3 linked regions of the Macaca fascicularis genome follow. The protein of the gene in region 1 interacts with the protein of each later gene in a biochemical or structural test. Links are inferred from orthologs where the notes say so. Each region holds a gene or a part of one and is shown on either strand. Other genes may lie near its edges.

The links.
Region 2: the proteins of INSR (region 1) and GRB10 form a complex in vitro, tested with the Homo sapiens proteins (5 studies listed by BioGRID and IntAct). The link is inferred for Macaca fascicularis from reciprocal best matches to the Homo sapiens genes INSR and GRB10.
Region 3: the proteins of INSR (region 1) and PTPN11 form a complex in vitro, tested with the Homo sapiens proteins (2 studies listed by BioGRID). The link is inferred for Macaca fascicularis from reciprocal best matches to the Homo sapiens genes INSR and PTPN11.

Annotation. Positions count from the first base shown.
Region 1 is NC_088393.1:8,022,327-8,027,885, forward strand, and holds the start of INSR (insulin receptor), read right to left. Parts: upstream 3,233-5,559; 5' UTR 2,690-3,232; coding exon 2,590-2,689; intron 1-2,589. UniProt on the Homo sapiens protein: Receptor tyrosine kinase which mediates the pleiotropic actions of insulin.
Region 2 is NC_088377.1:79,813,515-79,818,350, forward strand, and holds part of GRB10 (growth factor receptor-bound protein 10), read left to right. Parts: intron 1-549; coding exon 550-665; intron 666-1,662; coding exon 1,663-1,731; intron 1,732-3,440; coding exon 3,441-3,578; intron 3,579-4,836.
Region 3 is NC_088385.1:119,339,715-119,345,099, reverse strand, and holds the start of PTPN11 (tyrosine-protein phosphatase non-receptor type 11), read right to left. Parts: upstream 3,519-5,385; 5' UTR 3,312-3,518; coding exon 3,298-3,311; intron 1-3,297. UniProt on the Homo sapiens protein: Acts downstream of various receptor and cytoplasmic protein tyrosine kinases to participate in the signal transduction from the cell surface to the nucleus. Positively regulates MAPK signal transduction pathway. Dephosphorylates GAB1, ARHGAP35 and EGFR.

The sequences.
Region 1 (5,559 bases):
AATATAAAAAATTAGCCGGTGTTGTGAAACACACCTGTAATCCCAGCTACTGGGGAGGCTGAGGCAGGAGAATCCCTTGAACCTGGGAGGTGGAGGTTGCAGTGAGCCGAGATCGTGCCACTGCACTCCAGCCTGGGTGACAGAGCAAGACTCCGTCTCAAAAAAAAAAAAAAAAAAGCCACATTGGTTGACATTAGAGATTAATGATCTAATGATCTGAAAAGCTCTTTGCCCCTCCCCACGCCTTCAAGAGGCATCACAGCCCATTTATTTGATAGGATTTTGTTCACCATTACCCCAAACATGGGGGGTATGGAGGCTCAGACTCAAAAGAACAAAGATTTGTTAAGAAACCATTGCTCTGCAGCCACACTAGCTAGATTCCAATCTCAGCCCTGCTGCCTGCTGGCCTCAAACGAAGTTTTCTCACTTGTGAAAAGGGACGATTAAATCACACCTCGTGTGGGGTTTTGCCGTGAGGATTAACTGAGATTATATATGCAAAGCGAATAGAACAGCACCTGCTGAGAGCTTGCTCTTACAATTCTTAGGAAGGTATTACGCAGAGAATAAAGAACTTCTTAAGATGATAAAGGAGCCCAGTACACCCAGGGTTTCTGTGCCCCACTGCAGAACAAATATTTACTGAACACCTACTATGTGCCAGGCACCGTTCTGGGGTCTAAAAATACAGTGGTGAACAACATCAACAACAAACCATAAACCCCTGCCCATATGGAAGCCATAAATGTGAAAAGAAATGGTAAATCTATTTACTGACCCTGAAAGTCCAGGCACAGATCCACGATTAATTACCAAAGCTACAAGGAACAGAAGAGCAGGGAACCACACAAACGCACACACAGAATCTGGCATAGTTCTAAACCACTCGTCTTGGATTTTTTTTTTAAGACAAACTCTCACTCTGTCGCCAGGCTGGAGTGCAGAGGTGCCATCTCAGCTCACTGCAACCTCCTCCTCCCCAGTTCAAGCAATTATCCTGCCTCAGCCTCCCAAGTAGCTGGGATTACAGGTGCATACCACCACATCCCGCTAATTTTTGTATTTTGAGCAGAGAAGGGAGTTTCACTATGTTGGCTAGTATGGTCTCGATCTCCTGACCTCCTGATCCGCCCGCCTCAGCCTCCCAAAGTGCTGGGATTACAGGCGTGAGTCACAACAGCCAGCCGGATTTTCTTAACAACAACCCAAATTAAACGCCACCCTTCATTGAGCACCTACTGTCTACCAAGCACCTGGGGGCGGGGTGGCCGCAGGGCTTTTAAACATTATGTAATTCACAGAGTCGACTCAGCACACCCGGTTGGTCCACTCTAGCACCTCTGATTTTACATGTACCCGGTTCCCCATCAATAAATTTAGGAGCTTCAATTCCTTCCCTCCCTGACCCCTTCCTCATTACCACTGATTTCCTTTTATGGAGAAATCTGAAACAGTAACCCAACAGATATGTTTAAAGCAGGGCCTCAGACCCCACAGTGGGACACTCAGGCTATATTGTCTTAAATGATTGCGCCATCTTTATCTTACAACCCCAAAGGTGCCTGCTGTCAAGCCCAAGGAAGATGCTACCCACACGTGGGAGAGGGGCCCATGGGGTCAGGGGGAAGGAAAGGCTCACTCAAGGTCAAAGGCTCCTTCATGAAGGGCAGGGCTGAGGGGAGAGGAGGAGTCAAGGAGACAGCAGACAAGGGACAGTAGTCCAGATTCTTGTGCAGAATGGGACACAGAGAGGTTCAAGTCCTGGCTCTGGCACTGACTTTAGGGCAAGGGAGTTATGCATCCTACCTGAGCCTTAGTTTACTCCTCTGTGAAATGGGTACAGAACTGTATCCGCCTCCCGGGGCCACTGTGACAGTCCAGAGAGATAAGATAGACCAGCCTGTGGCGTGCGGTGATACTAATTACAATAAATAGGGTAAAAAACCGCCACTACTTCTGCTACAATTGCTGCTGTTGCTAAGGCTTTAGAATTTGCCTCCAGACATCTGGAAACAGAACCCAAAAGGGTAAACGTGGACCTAGAGTCCGGGGTGGCCACGGGCCTAAATCCAAGGTAGCTGGGTAGAGGGGGTTTCTGCAGTCCCCGACCCCAGGCAGCGTCACCCACCGGTGAGGCACGCGGGGCGATTGGCTCTACCTACACCATATGCGCTCGGGGGACTTGGCTGTCCGGGGCTCTCCAGACCCAGTGACCCCACTTCCCGGCCGCGACCCAAAGACGACGCATGTCGTGTCTCCGGAGCGACTTGGGCTCGGAGGGGCTGGGGCACGGGTCGGAGGCGCGCTCCAGAGAGGCGCCCGCGGCGGGGCGGGCACTGGGGCAAGGTTCCTCGGGCTCAGGTCGGGCACGCGGGGCGCGGAGGCGCGAGCCCGGGCGGGCAAAGGCCAAGGTCAGCGGCTTCCCGCCCACACCCCCACCACGCGAGGCAGGAGCTACAGTCCCGGCCACCGCCCCCCGCCCCCGGGGAGGGTTCTCAGTCCACAAGCCGGGGCTCGATTTTGGCTCGGGTGGGGTCCTCTCCCCATCGCGGCGCTCCCCGTCCACGCCCGCGCCCCCAGACTCACCCTCTCCGGGGTACAGGTGGCCCGCGGCGCCCAGTAGCAGCGCGGCCACCGCCACCAGCAGCGGCGCGGCAGCTGTCCCCCGCCGGCCCCCGGTGCCCATGGCTGCGGGAGCGCGGGGTCTCCTCGGATCAGAGCGCGCGGCGCTGGCCCGCGGGGGTCATGCTCTGAGGCGGCCGTCCGAGAGGCGCTGGGGGCCGCGCGTCCTTCTCTTCCACGCCGGCGACCCGCGGGCCGCAGCCCCGCTGCCCGGGAGGGCCCTAGAGACAGCCCCGGGAAGGAGGCGCGCGGCTTCGCCCGCTACAAATAGGGAGCGGAGGCCCTGGCGGTGGCGGCCCCGACCCCCGGCCGCTGCGGCCCGGGCCCCGTCCCACGATGTCGGGGCGGGGAGCTCGGCGCTGCGCCCCAGACTGTCTCTCGGCTCTCGGCCCCGCGCGCTCTGGGTCGCGACCTGCGGGCTCCGGGACAGAGGGACGCGCGGACCAACGGACAAGCTGACGGGCGGGCGGGCACCTGGGCTGGCGGGTGGCGGGCGGGCGGCGGGAGCGAGGGCTGCTCGGGCCCGTAAACAACGCGGCCCGTCAGCTGGGCCCGGTGCGGGCCGCGGGAAAAGGCGGCGCGGATCTGGCCTAGGAAGGGACTCTGCGCCCGGGAGAGGCCCAGGAGAGGGAGGGAAAGCAGGCAGGAGAGGGAGGTGCCGCCCGGCCCCGCCCCGCCCGCCTCCCCGCCTGCCTCCCCGCCTCCTGTGCCGGGCCCCGCGCTGGAGGCCCTGGGCGCGCCGGGACCGAGGGGGCGCCCCAGATCCGCGGGCCCTACAGCCCCGAGTCTCCTCCAGTTTCAGACCCCCGGAGGCGCCCCACAGGCCCTACCCAGCAGCACAGGTCCTTTCTCTACCGTTTTGCTATTTTGTTCATAGTGGGCTTTGGAGGATTCCTGTTGATTTTTTTTTTTTAACACTGCATTAAAATGTTTATTTTGGTGACTCGAGGTGGTTTTCGTTTCTTTCTTTCTTTCTTTTTTTCACTCCCTTAAATTTTGCAGCCCAGGCGAGTAGTGTCTCACTCGCCTTTCCCCAGTCCGGGCCTGGCCAGCGACACTCGTCCCAGAGCGCGTGGGCGCCCCCAGATGTCCCGCCCGCGCGTGCGCCCCCGCCCAGGGGCGAGACCCAAGCCAGGCCCCTGGGGACAGCCACGTGCCCGCGCGCCCAGTGCGCTCCCTGTGTTCAAGTTAAAGAAATGACACCTGGAAAAATGTGCAGACGCTTCTGAAAGAGCAAAGAAGAGGCCAAAGACGACTCCGGAGACCTCGAATAGGGCGCAGGTGGACATCTCAGATTTTCAGCATCTCAGATTTTCAGCAGACCAGCCTGTATGTGTCTGAACGTCTAGCAACGACATTCACCAACAAGGCGGGACAGCAGTTCCACCTACTCAGTATAGGAAAGCCAGAACTCAATGGGAAGAGGGTTCCTCCACCCCTCACTCCTGTATGGTCTTGGGCCAGCTACTTTACTGTGTCTGGGCCAGTTTCACTTGTGTAATGGGTTTGATAATACCTGCAGGCCAGATCTGGGGAGGTACCCGGGAAAGAAAACTTAAGAAAGCGCCCAGCACAACCCTAGACCCAAGGCATTCATTCTTCTTTTATTAAATAGTTTGCTAGGAGCTGGACCCACTGTTCATGCAACAGGCCAAACCTATTCCTGCCTCCAGGCCTTTACCCCAGCGTCTCCCTTGCCTGTAACACTGCAGGATGGCTTCATCTCTGCTCCAAGGAGCCATCCCTAACCACACTTTTGCAAATCCTCCCCACCAGTTCCCTGTTCCCTTCTCTCTCTCTCTCTCTTTTTTTTTTACATGGAGTTTTGCTCTGTTGCCCAGGCTGGAGTGCAATGGCCAGATCTCAGTTCACTGCAACCTCCCCTGCCTGGGTTCAAGTGATTCTCTTGCCTCAACCTCTCAAGTAACTGGGATTACAGGCATGCACCACCACACCCGGCTAATTTTTGTATTTGGTCTCGAACTCCTGACCTCAGGTGATCCACCGGCCTTGGCCTCCCAAAGTGCTGGGACAGGCCTGAGCCACTGTGCCCAGCCCCTTCTCTTTCATTTTCATAGCATGCTTACCTCTCTACCTGCAATTCTATGTTCTCTTTTCTTTTTTTTCCTTTTGACAATATCTTGCTGTCACCCAGGCAGGAATGCAGTGGTGCAATCCTAGCTTACTGCAGCCTTGAACTCCTGGCCTCAAGCAATTCTCCTGCCTTGGCCTCCCAAGGTGCTAGGATTACAGGCATGCACCACCATGATTGGCCTTGAAATTCTTATTCAACGTTTTCTGTGTCTTCTCCCCTCCCCCGAAAGTGAAAATCTTTTCGGTCTTGTTTCACTGCTTAAACCCAGTGGCTGACATATCTGTTGCTTAATAAATATTTGTTGAGTGGGAGAATCAACAAGCAATAAGTAGTAGGGGGATTTTTCAGTGAGCAAAATAAACATGACCCATTTCCTTGTGGAGTTCACAACTGAGCCAGGGAGAGAGCCCTTAAAATAACTGAGTGTGTGATGAGTTGAGGGGAGTGGGAGGTGCATAGGGAGGAGTCTGCTGAGGACGTGAGTTTTTTTGTTTGTTTGTTTGCTTGCTTTTTGACGGATCTTGCTCTGTCGCCTAGGCTGGAGTGCAGTGGCACGATCTTGGCTCACTGCAACCTCCGCCTCCCAGGTTCAAACAATTCTCCTGCCTCAGCCTCCCGAGTAGCTGGGACTACAGGTGCACACCACCATGCCCGGCTAATTTTTGTATATTTAGTAGAGACGGGGTTTCACCATATTGGACAGGCTGGTCTCAAACTCCTGACCTCAAGAGATCCGCCTGTCTCAGCCTCCCCAAGTGCTGGGATTACAGGTGCGTGAGCCACTGAGGATGTCGTTTGAGCTTAAGTCTGAAAATGAAGAGGAGCCAGCCTAGGGAAGC
Region 2 (4,836 bases), on another chromosome or scaffold:
GCCTGTAGTCCCAACTACTCAGGAGGCTGAGGCAGGAGAATGGCGTGAACCCGGGAGGCAGAGCTCGCAGTGAGCTGAGATTGCGCCACTGCGCTCCAGCCTGGGCGACAGAGCGAGACTCTGTCTCAAAAAAAAAAAAAAAAAAGCTTCCATCTCTGGGCCCTCTTTGGTCATCCTCCCCTTTCAAGTTCTTTCTCCTTTGTTTCTTGTTGTAGTCTTTTATTTACAAGAATTGAAATTTATTAATTTAAGGGCAAAATCATTTGCTGAGAGTATTATGGACTCATTCCTTAACATCTGGTTGATGCCAAATTCAAAAGAAGTATATAAAAATAAGTATTGACCTGAATTCCTCATGCTGTGTATCTTAAGACCTCTTATGAATTTGGTAGTACATAAAAGAGAGATTTAAATTTAGTTTCCTTCCTGACCTCGTCTCTATTCATAATGTTTAAAGAATAGAAAGTTGAACAAATCTTGCATTTGGTTGTAAAGCTACCATGAATTTCCCACCTGTTGCATCTCACATGTGATACTTTGCCCCTGCAGAGAGGTGCTTGGAAGACCACGAGCTGGTGGTCCAAGTGGAGAGTACCATGGCCGGTGAGAGTAAATTTCTATTCCGGAAGAATTATGCAAAATACGAGTTCTTTAAAAATCCCATGGTGAGTCTTACGTCTTCAGGTTTGGGGTTTGGGACTCTTGACATCTGGAAGTTTATACTTGGGTTTCATAGTATCAGATTAGAAAGTGACTGAGAGGCACGACGTAGCATATCGGTTTGAGAGTCAGAGTTGCAGTTTAATGAAGCAATCCTTGCTTGAAACCCAGTCTCGTGCTTCACTAAATGTGCCTGGGACTGGCTGAAGATAGAGGTCTCCTTCTTCAAATAGACACAGTGTAAAGGGGGTTAGTCTCTAAGACAGGAGCTGGGGGAGACTGGGCGTTTTCTGTTATTTTGAAAGTTCTCAGTTAAACTGATCAAACACTTAGCAGAAGAAAAACTCATTATTCTCTGCACACAGCAAACACATTTTGTGATCATACGTGGAAGAATGACTAGAGAAATCAGTGCGATTGGTGGTGTCTTGAGCTGGTCACCTTGATCTCTCTTCCCCTTTCTTTCTTTGGGAAAGAAGGCACTTGTCCTGTGAGAGGCCGGGATAGGGAGGGCACCTCCTAGCTCCTGGGGTACTTACTGTCGTCCTGAGTCATGGGGCAGAGCTGTGTCAGCTGGGGAGAAGACCCAGGGTCATTTCTGACTCTGATAATTTAGCTGCTTTTTTATTCCAGAGTGAGAAATTTGAAGACTGTTTTTGGGGAATGCAACAGAAAAGGCTTTTCTCGTGACTGGGCTTACCTTTTAGTTTCAGGAATTCTTTATCTCACTCTTTGCCATGGAGTATGCTGTGAGACATGCATCCCTTAGTAAACATAGGTGGTATTCCATACTCGTACCCAACATTTCAGGAAATGAAATACAACCTTTTGAAGGAGCTATTTCTTCTGTGTGATAGGAGAATAAAAAGGACTGCCATTTTAAATACAGGTGTACATAATTATATTGGTAGGAATAGTTTTAAAATTTACTTATCTATATGACATACCTTCCCTCACTTTGAAACTAACCTTTCACGTATTTGTTTTTTCCCATTTTCTTAGAATTTCTTCCCAGAACAGATGGTTACTTGGTGCCAGCAGTCAAATGGCAGTCAAAGCCAGCTTTTGCAGGTACTGGGCCAAAATAGACCTCTGCTGAAATAGACTTTCTGAATAGAAATCCTCTTGGAACTGAATGGCAACATTGTAAAAAACCTGAAGAGATTGCATCTTTCATCATTTATAACTTTGGCCCTTAAGGGGGTTTAGAGTAACCAGAAATTAAAAAGTTTACTTGGAAAATCTGTGTGTAGCTGGATTCCTGCTGAGCCAAACAGGCACTTACACACAGAATGCCCTTGCTCTGACTTAGAAGAGTCCAGTGATGCCACTGCTGAGTGTGGCCCGGGGGGTGCATGGAGAAACCCCAGTTTCAGGGCTCCCCAGCTCCTTTCTGAGCAGGGGTCCCAGGTCAGGCCACCGCCCAGCTGCTTGGAAATCTCTGCAGAAGCGCTGAGTCTATAGTAAAAGATGATTGGGTTACCACGACAGACTTTTACAAGTAACTTGCCATACATTACAAATAAAGAAACCTGCTTTAATTGTCCTAAAGTCTGTTCTGAGAAAATCTGGTCTCTCCCCACCTCCTCTTCCAGTGGAGGGAGCCACCAGGGCCTCTGTGCTCAGCTGTCACACACGCTCCTCCAGGGAAGCTGGGAGCGGGGAATGGGAATGTTACAGCTACACCCTAAAAATATGCCTGTGTACATGTCAAAAGTGAAAGAATGAATCATTTCCTAAGGCCACCAACAATATCCAAGTGACATATTACATGTAACAGAAACTACTAAAATATAGTTCCTACAGAATTCTGCTCATAAGCCCTTCTTTTGCTATGTTGTTATCACCAAATTTGTTTCAGCATCTAAAAGATAAGAGCTTCAGAGCTCTGTTCCGGTGGTGTCTTCAGAAGCCCTTCTGACCATAGCATGTGTCTGTTCTGGTGAGAGGTGTCAGTGCTAAGGTACCACCTGTACACCGTGAACAGTGAAATGGCACATTCTGTTTTAACTTGCCTTGACTTTGGGAGGACTCATGTGCTTTGTGAAGATATGCTGTGGTCTCTTGAGACTCAGGAAGGACTGACCCAGGTGCACTAGGGCTCTGTCCGACGTGCCTTTCCCACCTGGGGGAAAAGAGCTTTGTCCCCTCCCAGTCTAGTAGCAAGACCTGCCAACATCACCTCCCCAACTTTGCTCCGTGACCTGGCCCTCGGCCTGTCTTCCCTTTGATGAAAAGCATAGTTTCTTGTTTTGTTTTGTTTTGTTTTGATAAAGGCTTTATTCTTAAGGCTGCCTGTGGGAAAAGTTAAGTGGAACAGGGGGACATCACCAGGATGTCCTGCACCTGGGTTCATCACTTGCAGACAAATGACACCTTTTATGTGACCCTTGACTGGAGGGGTGCCTGGGTAAAAGTGGCCACTACATGCTCACTCTCAGTCCCCAGAGCCCCACTCACTCAGTCATGGCACTTGCTCTTGCCCTCAGTCTGATATCAGACTGGATCCTTCAGTGCACTCTCTTACAGGGAAATTCGTGACTTGTGTTATCACCAGTGTTAGAAAGGTCCATTTGCTTGCATGTGTTTAAATACGAATTATGTTCTATGCAGCACCAATTGAGATGGGATTTTAAGACTTTGGAAAGGAGAACACGCTCAGTTTGATCAAAAAAAGGAGTCTTTTAATAATTCAGAAAATGTCAGTTATGCTAATAACATGTCTGCTTTAATTATTTTAGATTAGCATTATGTAATTTTTAAAATTTGTTCTTCAACAGAATTTTCTGAACTCCAGTAGCTGTCCTGAAATTCAAGGGTTTTTGCATGTGAAAGAGCTGGGAAAGAAATCATGGAAAAAGCTGTATGTGTGTTTGCGGAGATCTGGCCTTTATTGCTCCACCAAGGGAACTTCAAAGGTGAGCTTTAAAACCTGCCACCACCAGCCCTGATTCTGCCCCCGTCACTGCCCCCGGGAGTCCTCAGAGTAAACCTAGGCTTCATTTTTAAATGCACCTTAGACTCCTCCAGGCTCAGGACAACTTCTTAATAAGCTAATTGTGCAACAGCTAAACTTGGAGTCACAGGTTTCCTGGTCTCCCTCAGAAACTAGGTAATAAATAATACATACCTAAGAACCCCACCTGCCCAGCCCCACCCCCACTGTGGGTTGGTAGCAGACCTCCCTGGCTGCCCTATCACTTCAGAGACTGGCCTAGTTCCCATAAGTTGGGATTTAAGCTAGCTGTAAAGATGTTTGATAGATGATTGCCACCCTAATGCCAGTGTAACTTTATGTATCAGATATTTTATGAAATAAATTTCAGGTTTGCATGTATCCGTAGTGAGAAGAAGGTGGGAGATGGAAAACAGCTGCAGGCCCTCAAAAGACAGCTGGTAGCACTGAGGGCTTAGGCTGGAGGCTCCTTCGCTCCCATGTACACTCTTGCCTGCTCTCTTCTCGTGCTGTCCACATACACCCTGTGGCAGGAGCCATGTCCATTCAACGTGGCTGAGCACTTACCATCTGAGGGCTACGGTCTCTTTTACTCTGGCCAGCAAAGGGGAAAGGGAGCTGGCGGGACCCTGGCACAGGTGTTGAGCATCAGGCCAACTCTGGGAAGTCAGCGGCTGCTGACGCATGGGCCAGAGAGAAGGGGGGTCATCTGCAGAGAGGGGCTTTGGTCTGACACAGGGCATGGTAGCGTCCTGACCTCTCAGCTGTGCTGTGTGGCCTGCTCAGAGTCCTCGTGTGTGCTGAAGTCGGGAGATTATTTCCTAGAGCAGGAAACAGAGCTAGGCTGGAGAGTTGAGGAGGAGAAGGGTGGGACAAGCTACCAGTGGGAAAACCCAGGGTACGATTGGACTCTGGATGCACAGCAAACCAAAGGCAGATAGGCCCTGTGCTCTTAACTCTGACCTTTGGGTTATAGATTTTCTTCTGCTTTTTATCTTGAATATCTGGTCATGGGGCTTTGATTTGGCAGAAGTATCAAATACGTTCCAACAGTCTTGTGTGTCTGAGAATTGGGGAAGTGGGTGTTTTGGGTGAGACTGGGTGAATTTGGTTTTAGTTTAGCACTTATCACACCTCATGTAATAATCATATGTAACATGTAAAGTGTCATTGGGGAAAGTGCTTATAAGTGTGCAGAGACTGCCCTCTGTCTACCAGAG
Region 3 (5,385 bases), on another chromosome or scaffold:
TACAAAAAAATTCAAAAATTAGCCGAGTGTGGTGGTGCACACTTGTAGTCCCAGTAATCGGCAAGCTGAGGAGGAAGGATGGATTGAGCCTAGGAAAACAAGGCTGCAGTGATCGCACCACTGCACTCCAGCCTGGGCAACAAAGCGAGACTCTATCTCAAAAAAACATAATAATAACAATAATAATAAAATTCTAGGGCTGGGCAGGGTGTCTCACGCCTATAATCCCAACACTGCAGTAGGCCAAGGTGAGAGGATCGCTTGAACCCAGGGGTTTGAGACTGCCCTGGGCAACACAGTGAGACCCCATCTCTATTCAAACAATTTAAAAATTTTAAAAAAACAAAAAAATTTTAGGAGATATAAACTAATATATAGTGACAGAAAGCAGAACAGTGGCTAAGAACAAACGAGGGATTACAAAAAACATGAGGCAAAATTACGAGGGACAATAGATGTGTTCATTATCTTGACTGTGGTGGTGGTTTCCCAAGTGTATATGTATGTCAAAACTGATCAAATTGTACATTTAAATATATGCATTTAATTGCATGTCATTTATAGCTCAGTAAGGCTGGTTAATAAAACAGACTTATAATCTAAAAAATGATAAATCATTCAAAATTCTGTGTATTATGTTCATAATCTGGCTTTTTGGGTGGTACACAATACCAGGGCTGGAGGGGAAAAGGAACAACTCCATTTCAAACTGTCATCTTTACCACTTGCTGCTTTGACTATGCCCACACTTCCATGCTTCTAAACTAACAAACTGGACAATGTAGGGTCTAATACTACACAGATCTTTTCCCAACCCTCAGCCCCCTAAAGCAGCAAATCCTTACTTGTCTGGAAGAGCAGACACCAGGAACAAAAGGCTCAATGACTATTAGACAGATTAAAGAATAGACAACTGTTTATTTAAAAGCTCCCTAAAGAATTAGAACATTTGAGGCTATACACTGTTCCGTTGAAATGCAGTTATATATTACCCAGATCCGCAAGCACTTGCCAACAGACCTGTCCAAGTCACTCACTTCCTACGAGTTCTGTTTTCTTTTTTCTCCCCTTTTTAAATTCCAGATCCATGTAAGAATAACATGCCAGGTCTGTTTGGAGGAGACATTCCTAATATTTTGAAAAATCTCATTCAGGCCGGGTGCGGTGGCTCACGCCTGTAATTCCAGCACTTTGGGAGGCCGAGGCAGGCGGATCTCGAGGTCAGGAGTTTAAGACCAATCTGGCCAACATAGTGAAACCCCGTCTCTACTAAAAATACAAAACTCGGCCGGGCACGGTGGCTCATGCTTGTAATTCCAGCACTTTGGGAGGCCGAGGCGGGCGGATCACAAGGTCAGGAGATCGAGACCATCCCGGCTAACATGGTGAAACCCCGTCTCTACTAAAAATACAAAACATTCGCCAGACGTCGTGGCGGGCACCTGTAGTCCCAGCTACTTGAGAGGCTGAGGCAGGAGGATGGCTTGAACCCAGAAGGCGGAGCTTGTAGTGAGCCGAGATTGCGCCACGGCACTCCAGCCTGGGCAAGAGAGCGAGACTCTGTTTCAAAAAAAAAAATTAGGCCGGGCGCAGTGGCTCAAGCCTGTAATCCCAGCACTTTGGGAGGCCGAGACGGGCGAATCACGAGGTCAGGAGATGGAGACCATCCTGGCTAACACGGTGAAACCCCGTCTCTACTAAAAAATACAAAAAACTAGCAGGGCGAAGTGGCGGGCGCCTGTAGTCCCAGCTACTTGGGAGGCTGAGGCAGGAGAATGGCGTGAACCCGGGAGGCGGAGCTTGCAGTGAGCTGAGATCCGGCCACTGCACTCCAGCCTGGGCGACAGAGCATGACTCCGTCTCAAAAAAAAAAAAAAAAAAAAAAAAAAAAAAAAAAAAAAAAAAATTAGCCAGGCATAGTGGCATGCCGATAGTCCCAGCTACTTGGGAGGTTGAGGCAGGAGAATCGCTTGAACCTAGGAGGCGGAGGTTGTGGTGAGCCGAGATCGTGCCACTGCACTCCAGCCTGGGCTGTTAACAGAGTGAGACTCCGTCTCAAAAAAAGAGAAAAAAAAAGAAAGAAAAAAAAATCTCATTCAAATAGCCTCAATAGCTTGAATCGTTTTTTAAATGTCTGAGACAGTGACCATAATTGAACAACCATGGAAAAGAATAGACAATGGGTCTTAAGTGTGAGTGGTATATAGAGTGATTATATAAAATAGCAGGATCATTATCTGAAAACAAGTCACACTACTGTTTGACAACAAAATTAAGGCTTACAAGTGGTTAGCAATAGTTACAAAATAATAGAAGCAACATAGTGATTAAAAGTAGGGATTCTGTCTCCACCACCTACTAGCTGTGAGGTTAAGCAATCTACTTAACCTCTCCGAAACTCGGTTTACTCATCTTTACAATGGGGATAATAGTAGCCATCTGAGAGGGCTGTCGTCAGAACTAAGCAAATGTTAGCTATTAGTAGTAATATTACCCTGATCTTTCAAAGGATCTCATTAACTCACTAATTCTCCTTAGTTTCAAATCTTGTCATTTACTAGCATGTTGCTTCTGGGCCTCGGTTTCCTCATCCATAAAACGGGTACCAGTAAAGTGACCTGACTGTTAAGGTTGCAGTGAAGGATTAAATAACGAGATGCGGCTCCCTTCCTTTCCATCTCCCAAAGCGAATATCGCAGAGGAAGGAAATACTTCTAGTGGCTGCAGATACAGTCAGTTTTTCCATTTCTGGCACGTGAGGGGTGGGAGAAAAAGAAGACACAAAGGGGCACATAAAAGGGTCAGGGGTCCTTCGTTAAGACCCCAAATGCACGCAAGTGGCACAGTGACCCAGAACGACTAGACCACTGGGGGCCCGGCCCCGCGCAACTCCCATCTCGTGTCCCAAGGAGCCTCCCCAAGTGAGCAGGGTTATTTCGGAATCACCATGAGGCAATTCTCATGAGGCAATGGGTCAGGAATGCGGCGCTGAGCCGGGCCGCTGGCGCCCGTGGTTCCCTAGGCGGCTCTACCTGCCCCAGGCCTGACGGGCATCCCCCGGGCTGCCGCAGCCGGAACTCAGGGAGGCAGGAAATGAATGGGGACCCAAGGGGTGGGGGCGCGGTGGGGCCGGCCCCCGGGCCGAGGAGGGACAGGGGACGAGGAGGGAACTGGCCCCCAATCCCGATCCGGGGCGGGAGCCCGAAGCCCGGCCGGGGCGCCCCCTTCCGGACGGGGCTGACCGAATGCGGCGGGGGCCGGGCCGAGGCCCGGGCCGGGCCCCTCGGGGCTCCTCACCTCCGCGATGTCATGTTCCTCCCGCCCTCCGGCTCCGCGACGGACCCGCTCCTTGCTCAAGCTCCACTAGGCTCGGTCACATCGGGCTGGCCCGAGGGAGGCCCGCTCGGGACCGGACGCGGGGCAGAGCCAGCCGGCCGCGCACAGACCCCCCTCCAGGCCTGGGGATCCCGGAGACTGTGCAGCCGCCCCCCGGCCCGGCTCGCTCCTCCTCCGCCCCCGCCCTTCGCCGCCGTCGCCCCCGTGATGTCACCGCTAGCGACGCCCGCCGCCACTTCCTGCTTCCCGTTAGCCGAGGACGGAGCCACGGCCGGGAATGGCAGCGCGGGGGTTCCGCGGAGGCGCTAAGCGCAGCGTCCAAAGCATCCTTGCTTCCTCCCGGAAATCGCGGCCGCCGGGTGTGAGCTGCGCGCTCGGCGGCTACGCCACTCCACCGACCGGGCGCGTCCGGGCCCACTGCCACATCGATTTCATTCATTTCGTTCCACAAATCGCCACTCGACTCATTAGCTGTGGAACCTTGGGGAATTACCTACTGTCTCCGAGCCTCAGTTTCCTCCATTAGGCTGGGCGCGGTGGCTCACGCCCGTAACCCCAACAATTTAGGAGGCTGCAGCAAGAGTGTCGCTTAAGCCTAGGAGCTAGAGGCCAGCCTGGGCAAAAAAGACCTCATCTCTACAAAAAATGCAAAACCCTAGCCAGGCGTGGAGGCTGCGGCGGGAGGATAACTTAAGCCCGGGAAGTCGGTGCTGCAGTGAGTCGTGATCACGCCACTGCCCTCCAGCCTGGGCGACAGCAAGACACTGCCTAAAAAAACTAGTAATAGACCGGGCGCGGTGGCTCACGCCCGTAATCCCAGCACTTTGGGAGGCCGAGGCGGGCGGATCACGAGGTCAAGAGATCGAGACCATCCTGGCCAACATGGTCTCCACTAAAAATTCAAAAATGAGCTGGACGTGGTGGCGTTCGCCTGTAATCTCAGCTACTTGGGAGGCTGAGGCAGGAGAATCGCTTGAACCTGGGAGGCAGAGGTTGCGGTGAGCCGAGGTCGCACCACTGCGCTCCAGCCTGCAATAGAGCCAAACTCCGTCTCGATAATAATAATAACAAATACTACTTTGGGGTGGGAGCAGTGGCACACGCCTGAAATCCCAGCACTTCCCTTTGGGAGGCTGAGGCGGGCGAATCGCTTGAGTCCAGGAGTTGGGAACCAGCCCCGGCAAAATAGTGAAATCCCATCTCTACAAAAAATACAAAAATTAGCCGGGCGTGGTGGCACGCGCCTGTAGTCCCAGCTACTCGGGAGGCTGAGGTGAGAGAATTGCTTGAGCCTGGAGGGTCGAGGCTGCTGTGAGCCGAGATCAGGCCACTGCACTCAGGCCAGGTATGGTGGCTCACACCTTCATCCCAGCACTTTGGGAGGCCGAGGCAGGAGGATTGCTTGAGCCTAGGAGTTCAAGATCAGCCGGGGCAACATGGCACGACCCTGTCTCTAAAACAAAAAACAAACAAACGAAAAAGCTGGGTGGTGGGGAAGTATTATTTTGGACACTGTGAAGCTCGAGGAAGAGGGCAAGGCCAGAAACGGAGAAGCCAGTCAAAATACGGGAATACTGTAGTATTCTGGTCTGGGAATAATGGTGACTCAGACCAGATTGAGAAGAGTAGAGTTTTTTTACTTGATTGATGCCCATATAACTCATTGAAGGCTACAGATCTAGCTGGGTGTGGTGGCTCACACCTGTAATCCCAGGACTTTGGGAGGCCAAGGTGGGTGGATCATCTGAGGTCAGGAGTTCAAGACCAGCCTGGCCAACATGGTGAAACCCCATCTCAACTAAAAATACAAAGATTAGTCGGGGTTGGTGGCGCACACCTGTAGTCCCAGCTACTCCGGAGGCTGAGGAGGGAGAATTGCTTGAACCAGGCAGACAGAGGTTGCAGTGAGCCCAGATCGCACCACTGCACTCCAGCCTGGGCGACAGGACAAGACTCTCAAAATAAATAAATAAAGGCTACAGATCTAGTGAATGGCAGAGCCATAAATTTAACCCATATCTATATAGCTCCAGCATCCTCATTGTTTTA